4 linked regions of the Canis lupus familiaris genome follow. The protein of the gene in region 1 interacts with the protein of each later gene in a biochemical or structural test. Links are inferred from orthologs where the notes say so. Each region holds a gene or a part of one and is shown in the gene's direction. Other genes may lie near its edges. The genes, in order: AURKB, RACGAP1, CDCA8 and CENPA.

Region 1 (4,313 bases):
GAGAAGGGACATCTCAGGGACCTTCGAGTGGAGAGTGGCCAGGGGAGGCCTCCTGGAAGAGGTGAGCTGAGTCTTGAAGACCAGGTGGAAATTTGCCATATGTTCTAGTAAACAACTATTTCCGCGTAAAGCTTTGACTCCCATGAAAGTGTAAAATACACCAAACTTAAACAGTGATCAGTTTATACCTTAGTTCTTGGATTCCGAAAGTAGGGCCCACGGATGGCGCCTCAGGCTATCTGTGCACTCTCTCAGACCGCCCGGGGTTTCTAGGGACATGGGCCACAGCGCTCATCCCATCCTATCAGGGAGGTAGGGCTCCGCCTCTGGGCAGATCTCAGGTGCTTGAGAGCAGCTAAGAGAGCAGTAACTAGAGACTTGGGGGGAACGCTGGGGCCTAAGAGGAGACACAAATTGCAAAAGGGAGAGGGAGATGCTGGAACACCAGCCCTCAGCGCTTGAGCCCCGCAAAAAGGCTTGGGACACGGACAGGAAAGGAGGGGCTGTCCCCTGCTGCCCTCCCCTGCTGTCTGCCCCAGGGACACGCGGGAAAGAAAGAGCGAAGGGTTGAACCCTTCAGTGATGTCTCCCCACCAAAGTATCGGTGTGTTGGGCATTAGGAAGGGCCTGGCCCTACAAATCAGACGACCCGCAGGTGGAACAAAATGGTTCAGCCCCGAGGTGCTACCAGGAGGTGCAGGGCCGCGGCTGCTCAGACCCTGCTGGGAGAACTCCCCAGAGCAGGCACCGAGCAGAGGGGAGGCAGCGCAGGTGGCGGGCACCGGGCGCCACCGTGTCTCGCCGCGACTCCGGGTGGCCCCAGAGCGAGGGCACGCTTGAGGGCGTTAAGCGCTTAGAGGCTCCCGGAGCCCGGAACCCTCTGCGAGGCCCTAAGACCTGGCCTTAGACACTCGTGCGGGCGTTTGCCTCGGATCCCCCTACCGTCTGGGGGCCTTAGGCGGCGGGGGGGGCTCCTGCCTGGCCGTCCTAGGAGGTAAGGGGAGAGCGGAGGGGAGTCGGGAAGATAGCGGTAACCTGATCGCACTGGCGGGAAGTCCTGCAACCAGTGCTGGTGGCCAGACCCGGCTCGGTGCCCCGATCCCGCCTGTCCCCGACCCCGCCCCGCCCCGCCCCCCATTCGTTAACGACTCCTCTTCCGTGGGTCTTCTCGGCCCCGGGAATTATTCCCTGGCCTGGGCCCTGGCGCTGCTCATCGCTCCAGGAGGGTGGACAGGTGCAGGGGCGGATGGAGGCGCAGGTGTGCACCTAGGCAGCTCAGGGCTCATTCATCGTCCCCAACCAGGCACCTCTGCGCCAGCGCACTGGGTCCCAGGGCGGCGGGCGCGGCCCGTTAGAGTCGAGACTCCAGGTGACGGAGACCGTGACCACGGCGAGCAGGTAGCCCCGGAGAGCTGCGCGGGGAGGGAGGGGAGCGCGGGAGGCCGAGACCACTCCCTCCTACTTCCCCGACGTTATTTCCTGGGAGGAGTCGGAGCGCGCGGGCGGCCGAGCAGATCCCCAGAGCCCGCTCGGGAGTCGGCGGCGTCGGGGCGGGTGGTCCCCGCGCGCTCGCCAGGCCGCCCCCACCCAGAGCCGTGGCCCTGGACCGCATCGGGCCTGCTACGACCTCTAAAGGCGTCCGCGAGCGTTCTCTCACGTCGGCTCGTTGGTCTAGGGGTATGATTCTCGCTTCGGGTGCGAGAGGTCCCGGGTTCAAATCCCGGACGAGCCCCATTTGGTTTTGGCGGAGACCGGGACGCCCGGAGGCGCTGGGGAAGGGACCGGCGCCGCGCGCAGGCCTCCCCGCAGACCCCGCGCAACCGGCCAGAGCCTGGAGCAGGTTCGCCGGGAGCTCTTTTGCTCCGAGCGCACAGCCCGGCCGGCCTGCCCGCGGGGGGCGCGCACGGGGAGAGCGCACCGACCCGGGCCAGCCCTTCGCCTTCCCGCCCCCTTCTTCCTGCGCAGGTCCGGGCCCAGGGGGCCGGGGCTGCGGATGACAGGGAGCGGAACGGGCCGGGACCCACCACGACCCGGCCTCCGTGGGCTTGGGGGCAGTCCAGGGCGAGCGGGGGGTCTCCGGCTGTCTCTTCCCAAGCGGCAGGAAGGGTGCAAGCCCCGGCCGATCGCGGCCACAGCTCCAGATCTCCGAGCCGGAGAGCGCCTCCTTCAGCTCCCTCCTCGTTAGTATAGTGGTGAGTATCCCCGCCTGTCACGCGGGAGACCGGGGTTCGATTCCCCGACGGGGAGAAGCGGTGTGCCTTTTGCTTTCTTTCGTTCTTCTCGTCCTACGATAAAATCCTATTCACGGTGAAGTATGCGTCCCAGGGCGTGCGGTGGAGATTTTCTTTAAAAAGAAGGGAGAACGGGAAGGCACAAAGTAGAGAGGATAGCTGGTGCTGCCCCTGGCGCTCGGGCTCATATTCTAAAAGTTCGAGTTTGTGTTTTGCATTCAAGCAACTTGCATGTGAATCGTGCTGCCGAATGAGCCCTCGGTCCCCTCCGTTCAGTGAATGTGCTTAGAGACGCGGTCGGAGCGAGGACAGAAGCGCGCCGTCACGGGGCTCCGCTGGGCGTGCAGCCCCCTGCGCGGGCGGTGACTGGGCCACAGGGTCCCCGCGGAAAAGCCATCCCGGCGCGAGGTTTTGAAAAGTTTGTGGGGAGGGGGAAAAAGTGCTGCGTTGGCCGGGAATCGAACCCGGGTCAACTGCTTGGAAGGCAGCTATGCTCACCACTATACCACCAACGCCCGCCGCAAGTCCCTGTTCCCCACGTCAAGGATTCAGTGCGTGCCCAGGCGCGAGGCGGAGCGGTGGGTGGGTGTGGGCCAGGCGGGGAGACCCAAGGGGACCCGAGACACCCCTGTCACCCCGGAAGGGACAGCGCTTGACCACGCACAGCCGGCACACGACAAAGCAAGATTCCGAGGACCTAGTGAAAGAGGCTTTCTGAGTCGCTGATAAAACCGGGGTTACATTTAAGATTCTAGGGGAGGGACCAGAGCTGCAGCGACACCGCGATGGCTTTGTCACCCCCGGAAATAAGTCACACTAGCTGCTTCTCTGTGTGTCCTGAGGTTAAAGAGCTGGGCTATGCGCCAAGAGCCCCTAAGCATAGATTGCGCACGAGGACGAGGTTCCATCCCCAGGTGACCGCGCACGGCTCTGGAGGTGACGCGGGCTGAACCCCCGGGGGGGCGGGGCTGAGGCTTTGGCTCCGCCCCCTGCTGCTGACGATAGTTCTGTTCACGAGACCCGGGCGACCGCGGACGCGGGAGGGCCTCGTGGCGCAACGGTAGCGCGTCTGACTCCAGATCAGAAGGTTGCGTGTTCAAATCACGTCGGGGTCACGGAAGGTTGCAATTTTCGTTATCTCGATTTGCCTTGGTATTTTCCTTTCCGGCAAAGGAAGAGGAGGTTGAAATTCGTTTCATTGTACCAAAAGAATACTAACTCCGGCACCTCTAAGGTTTTGTTTTTTTCCCCCGAAATGTATGCGTTTTCTAAATATTCTAAATACAAATTTAGGAATTAATGTTGCATCTGCACTGTTTTTGTCAAATCAGCGGATAGCGATACCTTTAGTCTCGTAGATGTTTTAGGTATCCTAACGCGAATTGTTCACGGAACAGCCTCGAGTTCTTGTTCAGAAAAGGTACTTGGAGCAATAGAGATTCATTGTTGGAAAGGGTGTGGCAAGAATTGATAATTATTATAAGTAGCAATTAATTAATTAAATGCAGATGTTCCTCAGACTTCCTAAATGTCCCAGAAGCCTGGAGCCGTGCAATTTTGCTGCTTCTGGTCTGTTGGTGGAGGCAAAGGGAGCAGAGGAATGCAGGCCAGCCACTCCATAGGCCTTCTCCTTCCCAGGGGGAAATTTCTTCCTGGACATCTCTTTCCTAACAGGGCCTCCGTTGGAGGGACCAGGCCTGGGCTGCAGAAGAGGAATTTGGGCGGGCTCAGCACCACGCGCCTGCTCGCCGGCTGGACACTGTGCCTCGCCTTCCGCGTCTGCTCAGCTCCCCAGCGGCTGTCCGGGTGCTCCAGCCACTCCACTCTGTTGGAGTGGTCACTGTGTCACCTGTGCAAAGACGGAAGCAGGGAGTCCGCCCTCACGGCTGAGCTGTGCGTGCTCCAACTGGGGATTGCTGATGACTTAGGAAGGCGACAGCAACCCAGGAGCTCCTGCAACCCTGCCTCGGAAGGCATGTGATGGGGGCAGCATGCAGCCCAGCTCCCCATCACTGCCCACCCTAAGCAGAGTACGTTTTAGGAGATAAAAAATGGGGAATTATTTTTTTCTGTCTTGCATTC
Region 2 (3,560 bases), on another chromosome or scaffold:
GTACAAGGATCTTTTGATGAAAGCAGAGACTGAGCGTAGTGCTCTGGATGTTAAGCTGAAGCATGCACGCAATCAGGTGGATGTCGAGATCAAACGGAGACAGCGAGCTGAGGCTGACTGTGAAAAGCTGGTGTGTATTGTTCTCTATGCCAGAACTATGGCAGTGGGGGGAGGGGGCAGCATCATCTGGTCATGTTTCCATCTGCCAGTTATACTCAGTTTCCTCTTCCACATTAAAGAACTAAAAGCAATCTATCCGTTGACAACTTGGCCTTGACTGGAGCTGAAATTGCAGCATAGGAATCCTGTTCTTCATAGACTGAAATTAAAATATTTTTTCTCTTTTAGACTTGAAACTATAACTTCATAGATTTCAGATGAGAATTTAAAGAATTAAAATTAGGCAGGGGATTCCTAGCATGTTGATCTGTCACAAGATGTTGATGTCTCATGCCACCTAGAGTATCCTCATCCTTTTGTCAATAGCTAGTACTTTGTTATTGATACAGGCAAGACAACTCTAAGGTTTTCCATCATTACTGCCCTTGGTTCAGGGGAAGGGGCTAGATGTAATCTGCCAGTTGAGCAATGTGACTAAGGTAGAACACTATCATTTTGATGTTCCAGGGTGGGTCATGGTACAAAGGAAAGCCTGTATGAGGAGGCACTAATCCATCTTGGTACAGTGTTAAATGCCTCAGTAAGCTCAAATTGACTGGTTCCAGTGTGTCACAGCTTTGTATCCATTTCAATGCATTTTGCTCCACTATTTAGAAAGGTGGGTGGCTGCTTTGATCCATAGAGGAAGCCAATAATTGTCCTGATAAAATGATACTAAATTGTTTTTGCTATGTGAAATCTATTTTGGGACTCTCATTTTGCAATACTGTCTTGAATTAGCAGCTTGACCCAAAAGTCTTGTAGCAGAAAGCCCACTATTCTAGATGGAGTTCATTTTACCAGTCAGAAATCAGAGACGCAATCTGGGCTTGATGTGAATTAATATGCTATTGGTGTAGCAGGCTTCCTGAAGGCTCATTTGCATAATGCTGTATTTTAATGTCTTCTGGTCTGCCCGTCCCATAAATTTGAGGTGAAGCTTTCTCCCCTGGTTAGTTAGGATGTTTTACTCTGCTTTGGTCTGCAGGAAAGACAGATTCAGCTGATTCGAGAGATGCTCATGTGTGACACATCTGGCAGCATTCAACTAAGCGAGGAGCAAAAATCAGCTCTGGCTTTTCTCAACAGAGGCCAACCATCCAGTGGCAATGCTGGGAACAAAAGGTGGGGAAACTGCATCTGTTGTTATCTGATCACGAGCAATGCAGCTGTCGGAAGTTCTTGTTATCTGAACTCTTAAATATACTGCTTCTGGAATGTGTGCTGAATAAAGCAGAAAAAGACTTTGGAGGAAGGGCGAGTGGGAAATAAAGGCACAAGGGCCTCCCACTTCCTTTTATCTTATTTTGTTTTTGATCTTTCCTTGGGATGTTGTTTCACCATGGGTAAAATTTTGATGTTGGTGCTAAATTGCACATCAATAACTAATTCCACTCATTGCTCAGAAACCTAAAGGTGAAAGTGGCAGTTCAGCAGTACTTTGAATGTTTACTCTCCAGAGAGCTCTTGTAGCTCTTCTGGTTTAGAAGGCCTCTGAGCCCAGACCAGACAATAATTTTGGTTTCACTGCATCACTATTTAAAATAGTCTCAACCAGGCTTTGAATTTAACACCCCCGATACAATACATAGGGAAAGGTCAGCACTCTTAGAGCTATTTATTTTGTTGCCTGGTTGTTTTATGGGGAATCTTTATAACTGAGAAGATATATGGGCTTAATTTCTTCAAAAGCTAATGCTGGGTGATACTCTTTCTTATAGAAAGCAACCACAATTGGGATCAGATTAAACTTCACTCTTCTGCCTATGAATTTTTAGTAGCGTGTTCCGCAGGAGTAGCACCCATGCTCCTGACTGTAACTTTCAACTGATGTTGCGAGGTCTTTGCCAAAAAAACAGGTGTGCTGCATGTGTCTTCGTGCATGCACAGACACACTCTCCCACAGAAACCAGCACAACGAGGCTTTGAACTTGTAGTTGTCTCCATAGGAAGGCACTGCTATGAAATTGCTGATTTTACTTGACCCCTGTGACTTGTTCTGAGTGTTCTTGCATTTTTACTTTCCAGAGTCTTCTGTATCTAATACTGTTTTGTTTCACTCATTTAGATTGTCAACTATTGACGAATCTGGTTCCATTTTATCCGATATCAGTTTTGACAAGACTGACGAATCGCTGGTAATAAATGTTTGATCTTTGAAAATTGTCTATTTTTCTTACCCCTGCTCCCTCGGGAATCTCCTTTCTGTCCTCTCTTCTGATATTCCTTTATTACTGTTGTAGTAATTGATGTGTTATAGATACTGAGCTAGCATTTTGTTTTATTAATTTTAAGGTTATTTATTTATTTGAGAGAGAGAGAGAAAGAGTGTACAGCTGTGGGGGTGAGGGAGAGAGAGTCTTTAAGCATATTCCACACTGAGTGCAGAGCCCAACGCAGCGGGGCTCAATCTCACAACCCTGAGATCATGGCCTGAGCCGAGACCAGGAGTCAGACGCATAACCAACTGCACCACTCAGGCACCCCTGAGCTAGCATTTTAAAATAAAAATCCACATAAGCTATAAGAGACTGGCTTATATATTTAGTTTCTGAAAGTGAGAATATAGAATTCAGGATTTGGCATGAGGTTAAATTTATTTAACGGATCTGTGAGCTACATGTACTAATTGACTGTATCTTCTTGGCTTATTAAACATCCACAGCTAGCAAAAAAAAAAAAAAAAAAAAAAAAAAAAAATTAGCAAGATTCTACCCAGGCAGGGCTTATTTGCTGCTCTTGGAGAGAATAGACTTGTGACTTATTTCAGAGTTAGTTCGGTTCTTGAGAAAACTTAGTCATACTTCACAATTTAGAAGGAAACCAGTGCCTTGGAACTTCAGCCAGAAAAATGGCAAAGTTTCTAGGGACTCTAATGCTTTGTTCAACAATGGTTAATAGGTCTGAACTCTTGTTACCCTACCTTTGTGGGGCAGCACCCTTTTCTTAACTTACAATGATTTCTGCATAAAAGGTAATCTCTGATATTTCAATCTTTGATGTTCAGGATACTGGTGGTTTGTTGGTTTGTGTATCTTTCCTATTTTACTGGCTGAAAGCTAGCAAACAAAGCAGTAAATCAGGAGGTAATTCCTGGTTGGTTTTCTGATAGTGTGAAACAAGTGACAACTACTTATTAAATGGGCTAGGAGCATTACATCCCAAATCAGTGTTTGGGGAAATCATTGCCATTTTATAGATATAAATAGTAGGTATCACCTTTTTGAAATATAGAATGATATGAATAGGTTTGGGATATATAGTAAAACTAGAACCTATTAATAACTGATTTGGGAGCTAGACCAAATATGGTGTATCTGTTATAATCCAAACTGAATCAGATAATCAGTAGCTAAATTAAATTACTTGACCAGGAATTGGAGAGTTTAGATTTCATTTAG
Region 3 (4,084 bases), on another chromosome or scaffold:
AAGGAAGGGAAGGAAGGGAAGGGAAGGGAGGAAGTGAGGGAGGAAGGAAAGGAAGGGAAGGGAGGAAGGAAGGGAGGAAGGGAAGGAAGGAGGGCAGACTGCACACTGAGTGCAGAGCCCCAGCGCCGGGCTTGACCTCACCACCTGAGAGCACGACCTGAGCCAAAACCACAGAGCCCAAAGCCCGACTGACCACGCCAGCCAGGTGCCCCTGTAAAACGACTTTGTGACAAGAGGTCCCATTGCGGGGAACCCCCGGGTGGCTCAGCGGGTGAGCATCTGCCTGCAGCCCAGGGCGTGACCCTAGAGACCCAGGATAGAGTCCCACGTCGGGCTCCCTGCGTGGAGCCTGCATCTCCCTCTGCCTGCGTCCCATGCATAAAATCAATCAATCAATCAATCAATCAATAAATCCCATTGCAACAAATGGAGAAGAGGCGAGGCTGCGACACCTCCTTCCCTTCCAGGGAAGGGGAAACCCCCTCTCCGACTGATCCTAGCTGCTTAGGGAGCCCCCGCGTCTCCACCCTCCCGCGCGGAGCTCTTCTTACAGCGTCTCCCCTAGCTTGTCCAACACGTCGTCGCCAGCCTCCAGCTGCTTGCGCCGCAGCCGCTCCCGCAGGCCCGGGAAGGCCCGAAGCGGGGGCGCGTCGTCCAGCCGCGCGACCTGAGCCGCCTGCAGCTGCTCCGCCAGGCTGCCGAGCGCGGCCAGCAGGGGCTGGCAGTCCCCGAGCGCGCCCCGCCAGCGGCGCTGCTGCTCCTGCACGGCGGGGAAGCAGCCCCTCAGGGCCTCCCGCACGGCGAGCAGAGGCTGGTCCTGCGCCATCACCTGCCGGACAAGCCCAGGCCGGCGGGCAGCGCCAGGCGGCCCAGGTGCGAGGGTTCCCGTGCGCAAGCGCCGTGTACCCCCTCCGACCCGGGGGCGGCCCCGCTTTCAGGTCGCAGCGCTGTCCCGAAACCCGGGCCTTGAGCCCGAGTTCTGTCTCCTCCCCTGGCAGCTCCGGTCGCCTTCCCCGAACCGGCGGGAGCCCTGGAAGCCCGCGGCGGCTAAGCGGGGGCGCCCACCGGGGCACCCACGCCCGGCGCTCCCTCGCCGCCTCTCCGCGCATGCTCCAGCGCGGCCGCCGCGGCGCAAACGGAGGTCGCAACGCGCGATGCCTTCTGGGGGCTGTAGTCCTACGGGCGGAGCGTCCTTGTGATTGGATGTTGCGGGAGCCTCCCAAGACGGCGACTTCTGATTCGTCAGCCGGTGGCGGTTTGAATTCGGCGGCGGCGGCTGCACGTCGGGTTCTGCAAGGAGCTGCTCCGTCCTTGCGGCTGCGGAGGCGGGGGTTCTCTTGGACGCTTTCGGCGACCCGCATGTACGTGCCCCGCGCCTCGTTTAAGCTCGGGCCTCCCCGGGGCAGCCTGTGCCCCCCGCTCGCCCCTTAGGGCGCCCGCCCGGCCTCTCCCGCGACCTCGGCCGCTGACCGCCCCCCCCCCCCACGCCCCGGGGGCGCCCGCAGCCTCCACCCAAGCGCCATGGCTCCGGCTAGGAAGGGCGGCAGTCGGGTGGCCAAGACCAGCTCCTTGCGGAGCCGGAAGCTCGCCTCCTTTCTTCGGGACTTCGACCGGGAAGGTAGGGGGCGCAGCCGGGGTGCGGGCGGGGTGGGGTGCGGGGCCCCGGGCCCCGGTTCACCCGCCCGTGTGCCCTGCCCGCAGTGCAAATACGGTCCAAGCAGATCCAGTCGGACACACAGAACCTCCTCAAGGAGATGGACAACCTGTACAACATCGAGATCCTGCGGCTCCCCAAGGCGCTGCGCGAGATGAACTGGCTCGACTACTTCGGTAAGAGCCGCTCGCGTCCCCAGGCCTCGGCCGGCGGTGATCACCCCCGCCCCCCGCCCCCCTGCGCTGCTTATTGCACTTCCCTGCTTCACCTGTCTGCACAGGACTCTGACGTCATCTGCCCCGCAGGTAGGCAGGCAGGCAGGCAGGCAGGCAGGCAGGCATCCATCCCCTCTAAAGGACCCCATACTGAATTCTTGAAGCTTTGCAGCTACTCAATTCAAGCTGTTCTAGGCCCAAAACTGCTGGATTGAACAGGTGCATGTATGTGTTCCAGGAAAACGTTACTTAGGGACGCACAGAAATGTGAAATTTGTGTGCATTTTTTGTGTCACAAAACGCTCTCTCTCACTTGCTCGCTCTCTCTCTCTTTTTTTTTTTTTTTTGGATAGTTTATCCAGTCGCTTAAAAACGGATACCTGAATAACTTGGTTCGTTAACCAGAGCTCAGATGGTTGGAGAACCCTAAGCCGTACTTTCTGCATCTCATGGAAACCGTCAGTTAAAAAAAAAAAAAGGGCAAATCAGATTGTGAAGCGCAAGGACTCAAGTTTTTCTGGCCAGCAGAAAACTGCAGCCTGTTCTCTGGCCCCCATGTTAAATGCCCAAGGACATGCGACAGGCTCTCGTTTCTGCTCTGGGGTGCCCTTACTTTTCCTCGTTTCTTTATTATTAGCTATTATGTAGGTTCCGTCCTGCATAGAAAAGCACGTTGTGTTCAAATTGTGGTTACTTAATGACCCTTTTGACTTGCACGTTTCTACAAATACTCATGGAGCGTGCCTCTGTCCCAGTGCTAAGGGGTGAAAATGCTTTGGGAAATAACAACAGACGTTGTCCCTACCCTCAGGAGCTTACAAGTTAGTAGAAGAGGATCGTTTTAAAAATGCACACATGGGCAGCCCGGGTGGCTCAGTGGTTTAGCACCACCTTCAGCCCAGGGCCTGATCCTGGAGACCTGGGATTGAGTCCCACATCGGGCTCCCTGCATGGAGCCTGCTTCTCCCTCTCCCTGTGTCTCTGCCTTTCTCTCTTTCTTTGTGTCTCTCATGAATAAATAAATAAAATCTTTTAAAAAAATAAAAATGCACACATGATTATATAGCTAAAATTATAAGTATCAGAAAAAGGGTAGAGTAGTGGTTGGTAGGTCCATTTATATAGTGCTTCCCGTGCTAGGTGGGCAGGCATTGTATTGAGTGTACTACGTAAGTTAACTAATTTTATCTTCATAGCAAAAGTGTTCATTGTTAATATTGCTCCTATTTTATAAATGACAAAATTAAGGCACAGAGAGGTTGTTTACTTTGCTCAACGTCTCATAGGCTAGTTAGTAGCAAAGTATACTTATTTAAATCCAGGCATTCTGGTTCAAAGCATGAATTTCTAACAGTTCTACAGGACTCTATGAGAGTTTCTAGAAGAAGGATTAACCTAACTTTACATCTAAATCTTGTGCAGACCTCTTTGTTCAGCACACATTGGCTATACACCTACCCCATGCCATATTTTCGCCCGAAATTGTTTTCTAGGAATTCAGGTGAACATTTACACAGCTTTGAGTAATTGTTGGGTATGATGAGGCTGAGCATCTAACTCAGCACTTCGCAGGGATCTGTTGTGATAGAACAGTAAAGAGCCTTGGATTGGAACTGAGTTTTGAAAGACGAATTAGAAACTTGTTGGGCGCAGAGGAGCATTTCCGATAGAGGGAATAATACGTACGTGCCAAGGCACGGAGTCATGAGAGACAGCGACACATTTGGGAAATAAGGACTTCCAGTGTGGTGGAACCTAGAATATGCATAATGGGGTCAGTCAGATATGGAGAAAAATTAAACGAGGTTGTAAAGATCCTTGAATGTTGAAGCCAGGGTTTAATCTGACCCATTTTTAGGCAGATAATGGGATATATCAGGGAGGATGGTTTATCATTAAGATCTGCTAGTAACTAAATAAAATGTTCTTTTTAAAGCCCTTGGAGGAAACAAACAGGCCCTGGAAGAGGCAGCCACAGTAAGTGACCTGTCCTATTTTGGAACTGTGCTTAGTTTTTAAGTTTAATCTTGTCACAAAATCCAACCAGGGGGTGCTTACTACGGAGGAGGTTTTGTAGGGGACGTATCCTGTTTATGCCAACTGGAAAATTACGATTGTCAAATGCTGAGTCTATGAAGCTCAAATACCGTCAAGTTCTACAGAGGGAGGCCATTCTGTTTTGGGCAGGTTCTTTGCAACTCTCTGCCCTGACCTC
Region 4 (4,094 bases), on another chromosome or scaffold:
TTCTTTTTTCCCTCTTTTTAAAAGTTGTAAAATACAACAGAAAACCATCTTGACCATTATTAAGTGTCCGGTGGCATTAAATACATTCACATTGTTGTCCCACCATCCATTCCCAGAACTTTTTTATCTTCCCAAACTCTATAGCCATTCAACATGCAACACTAACCCTTTCCCCTGAGCCCCTGACAACCACCGCCGTACTTTCTGTGAATTTGGCTATGCACCTAATGTAAGTGGGATCCTACAGTAGTTCTCCTTTTGTGTCTTGTATGTTACCTACCTCAATGCCTTCAAGGTTTTTCCTTGTTGTAACATGTCAGAATTAACTTTCTGAATAATAGGCTGAATAATATTTCATTCCTGGTATGCACCACATTTTATTTATTCATTTGGGGCTCAGTTGTGAATAACATCACTGTGAGCATTAGCGTACAAATACAAATAGGTTCAAGTCCCTGCTTCTAGTTCTTTGTATACCCAGAAGCAGAATTGCTGGGTCGTGTGGTAATTCTACATTTAATGTATTTGGCTGATCAACATACTGTTTTCCACTCTGGTTGCACCAGTGAGGAAGGATTCCATGAAATCACTGATTTTGTAATGACATCTTCCTTGACTACAATACACGTTAACTGGAGAACATTTAGAAAACGCAAGAGAACCAAGTGCAGAAAATAAATCTTTATTCTAACTACACAGATGTACATTTGACCGGAATGTGTGTGACCTCCAACAGGAAGGGAAGGGGTGGTTTCCCTACAGGGCTCCTACTGCACTGCTGGGGAGTGTGATCCCAGACGACAGCGTCAGATCCTGGCCGTGCCACGACCCTAGTCATGGATAACGTTCATGCAGTCAGACTGGCTTCTGAGCCGTATTCGTGGGGTGTCCCTGGAAGGGCCACATTCTCTGTAAGTCTGTCTCCTCGTCTTTAAAAGCCACGTCAGGGCTGATAGGACAAAACATAAAATGTCCGAACAGTGATTTGTCTTGAGGAACGCGCTCTGCAAGCGCACCGACGTCTTCAGGACAGTGCTTCCTTTTGTCAACCACGAGGCACCGAGGGCGACCGTCCGAGCCCTCGAAACAGCACGGCCGCAAGCTCCCGCCTCCTTTCACTTCTCCAAGTTCCCATTGGCTGGTTCATACCGCCGTCCGCGACGTCCCCGTTCTCTCCTCCAATCGCCGCGCGCGCCGGGCCTCCGGCCTGTGCTCTCATTGGTCCCCCGCGCAGTCGCTCTGCGCCAGGGTCGTTCCAGAAGCAGCCACTGAGAGTTGCCGAATTCGGGTTTTAAAAAACGCCGCGAGTGTAATCGACAGAGCGGGTCCTTGGAACCGAGGCGGCGCCGGGGCCGGCCGAGCAGTCTCCTGGTCCTGGGCTCCCGCAGGACGCCAGCCTCGGTCCCCGGACCCCAAAGGCCGAGAAGGAGCCGCAGGGCCACCACGCCCGGCGCCCGCCATGGGCCCGCGCCGCAAGCCCGAAGTCCCGAAGAGGCGCCCCGCGAGCCCGGCCCCCAGCGCCCCCCGGCGGGGCCCCTCCTTAGGTAACCGGCCGCAGCCGGCCTCCCCGCTCCCTGGCCTCCCTGGCCTCCCTGGCCGTGAGGTGGGCACGGCCGCATCCAGGTGCCCATTCCACGGACCAGAAGACCGAGCTCGCGCGCGGACCCCGGGTCCGAATCTGCCGACTTCCGGCCGGCGCTCCCCTGCTGGCGGGCAAAGCCGGGCCGCCTACAGCACCTGCTCGGCCCGGCCCAAGTTCCAGGCCCCGCAAGGGACCCGGGAAAGCAGTTAGAGGAGCAGAAAGGACGGCCCAGGCGGCCTGGCACCTAATACTAAGTCTTACTACTAGTAGCGTTTATCGAGTACTAACCCCTACCAGGCATTGCGTTCCGCTGCTTGGGTGATTTAGCTCAACTTTACATTGTGCCCATTTTTCAGATGAGAAAACTGATGCGCAGGCAGACCAAGTAACTTAAGGTCACACAGCTTGCTCCAGCAGACAGGATTTTTTTTTTTTTAAGTGTTTGTGCTTTCTTTTTTTTTTTTTTTTTAACTGCAGAATTATTGGCAGCTTTTTGTGACAATTTCAAACAGTTCTACTTTCAGAAGTTGCCTTTCCAGGTGTTGGGGTGTGTGTATGTTTCTTCAGTGAGTGGTGGTGTTGGGCCTCAAGTAGAGCGCTCTCACCTTGTTCCCTTCCTGAGGTTATTTATGGGTCCGGAAAGAAGACTAGTTTGTGGTCTTCGGTTTCTGCGCTCTGTGGTCTGGTGGATGGGAGGCCCACTCAAGCAAGAATTGTTCTGGCAACAACTGCTTTACTTGTCTCCTGCAATGTAGTTATGAGCAGGGTGGGAAAAAAGCGTATTATGGGTTATTTTCTTCCCTAAAGATTAAGAACCTTTGCATCCAGCCAGCTAGCTTGCTGAATTCTCTTGTTAACTTATTGTTCAATTGCTTCAACTGAAATGGTTAAATAGGCTATTGTCTGCAAATAAGGACTTTCGAATCTTTTTCACTTTTCTATATTTTATTTCTTAGTGTGTTGGATTAGTGAAGCTCTGAGATTAGTATTGAAATAAGAGAAGTGGTTTGGCCACCCTTGGCCCATTTCTTTTCTTTCTTTTTTAATTGTGAACTCCATGCCTAGTGTGGAGCCCAACGTCAAGCTTGAACTCTCAGTCCTGAGATCAAGACCTGAACTGAGATCAGGAGTCCCACACTTAACCAACTGAGCCACCCAGGCGACCTCAACCCCTGTTTCTTTCTTTTTTTTTTTTTTTAATTTTTTTTAAAGATTTTATTTATTTATTCATAGAGACACAGAGAGAGAGAGAGAGAAGCAGAGACACAGGCAGAGGGAGAAGCAGGCTCCATGCAGGGAGCCCGACGTGGGACTCGATCTAGGTCTCCAGGATCACACTCCAGGCTGCAGGCGGCGCTAAACCGCTGCGCCACAGGGGCTGCCCTCCACCCCTGTTTCTAATTTTTTTTTTTTTTTTTAGATTTTTTTTTTTATTTACTCATGAGAGACACACACACAGAGGCAGAGACACAGGCAGAGGGAGAAGCAGGCTCCATGCAAGGAGCCCAATGCGGGACTCGATCCCGGGTCTCCAGGATCACACCCTGTGCTGCAGGCAGTGCCAAACCGCTGCGCCACCGTGGCTGCCCCCCTGTTTCTAATTTTAACATGAATATTGTTAAGTACGCCATTGCTGTTACTCTTCAATGTAGAAGCATCCTTCTATTCCTGGTTAAATTAAAGGTTTTATCTCAGATGGACACTCAGCACTTCCTGGCAGTCCTCCTGTGCTTGTCTGGCAGTCTTGCTTTTCCATTCTCCCCATTGACTATTCATACCTTTTTCTTCAAATTCCTACAACTCCAGCTTCCCAACTCACTCTCAGTTGATAATGACCTTGTCATGTGCTTGTTTCACTTAAGGAAGCCCCCAGACTGGATTCTCCTTATTTTCTCACAGCAGAGACCCCTGGTCTTCCCTTCCTATCAAAAGCCACTCACTCCTCCTACATGGGCTCTTGGTCCTATTTTTCTCTCACCTTCACTGGGCTTTCTGTTGTCCTCTCCACTTGCGCTTGGAATTCAGTTCGTGCTCTTTACATTGTCATTCCACAAATGTGCTCCGCTCTTTCTGATCCAGAGACAAAGAGCAGGGGTGCTTCTTGTCCCCACATCTCTGTCTCTCATACTCCCCATTTCTCTAGTGCCCTTCATAGCTACCTTTTTTTAAACAGCCAGACTTAAGACCACACGTGTGTGTTTCCCCTCTTCCCAGGCTTCCCTGGAGCCTGGGTGAATCTAGTCTGGCTCCCCACAACTACTTCCCCTCCTTCTAGTGCACTCGAAGTACTCTTGTCAAGGTCACTAGCTACTTTAATGTTGCTAAATCCAATAGACCTGTCCATGTCCTCTTCTTGCTCTGAGAAGCATTTGACACAGGGGGCCACTTCCTGCTAGAAACATTCTATCCCCTTGTCACACACTGCGGTTCCAGTCTAGTGTCCTTTACTGCCTGTGCCACCTCCCCGCAACAACTTGACGTTGGACTTCTTGCTGTCCTCCTCCTCCTTTCA

Evidence for each region.
Region 2: of the proteins of AURKB (region 1) and RACGAP1, one has a biochemical effect on the other in vitro, tested with the Homo sapiens proteins (2 studies listed by BioGRID and IntAct). The link is inferred for Canis lupus familiaris from reciprocal best matches to the Homo sapiens genes AURKB and RACGAP1.
Region 3: the proteins of AURKB (region 1) and CDCA8 form a complex in vitro, tested with the Homo sapiens proteins (3 studies listed by BioGRID, with this or other methods). The link is inferred for Canis lupus familiaris from reciprocal best matches to the Homo sapiens genes AURKB and CDCA8.
Region 4: of the proteins of AURKB (region 1) and CENPA, one has a biochemical effect on the other in vitro, tested with the Homo sapiens proteins (3 studies listed by BioGRID). The link is inferred for Canis lupus familiaris from reciprocal best matches to the Homo sapiens genes AURKB and CENPA.

What each region holds. Positions count from the first base shown.
Region 1 is NC_049226.1:33,232,154-33,236,466, reverse strand, and holds the start of AURKB (aurora kinase B), read left to right. Parts: upstream 1-1,498; 5' UTR 1,499-1,677; exon of another isoform or gene 1,678-1,732; intron 1,733-1,965; 5' UTR 1,966-2,192; exon of another isoform or gene 2,193-2,247; intron 2,248-2,674; exon of another isoform or gene 2,675-2,746; intron 2,747-3,274; exon of another isoform or gene 3,275-3,346; intron 3,347-3,905; 5' UTR 3,906-4,222; coding exon of another isoform or gene 4,223-4,261; intron 4,262-4,313. UniProt on the Homo sapiens protein: Serine/threonine-protein kinase component of the chromosomal passenger complex (CPC), a complex that acts as a key regulator of mitosis.
Region 2 is NC_049248.1:41,947,149-41,950,708, reverse strand, and holds part of RACGAP1 (rac GTPase-activating protein 1), read left to right. Parts: coding exon 1-130; intron 131-1,147; coding exon 1,148-1,284; intron 1,285-2,227; coding exon 2,228-2,297; intron 2,298-3,560.
Region 3 is NC_049236.1:4,883,849-4,887,932, reverse strand, and holds the start of CDCA8 (borealin), read left to right. Parts: upstream 1-1,263; 5' UTR 1,264-1,521; coding exon 1,522-1,618; intron 1,619-1,701; coding exon 1,702-1,830; intron 1,831-3,805; coding exon 3,806-3,846; intron 3,847-4,084. Other genes in the region: C15H1orf109 (uncharacterized protein C1orf109 homolog), read right to left, coding at 552-826.
Region 4 is NC_049238.1:20,875,752-20,879,845, forward strand, and holds the start of CENPA (histone H3-like centromeric protein A), read left to right. Parts: upstream 1-1,267; 5' UTR 1,268-1,459; coding exon 1,460-1,544; intron 1,545-4,094. UniProt on the Homo sapiens protein: Histone H3-like nucleosomal protein that is specifically found in centromeric nucleosomes. Replaces conventional H3 in the nucleosome core of centromeric chromatin that serves as an assembly site for the inner kinetochore.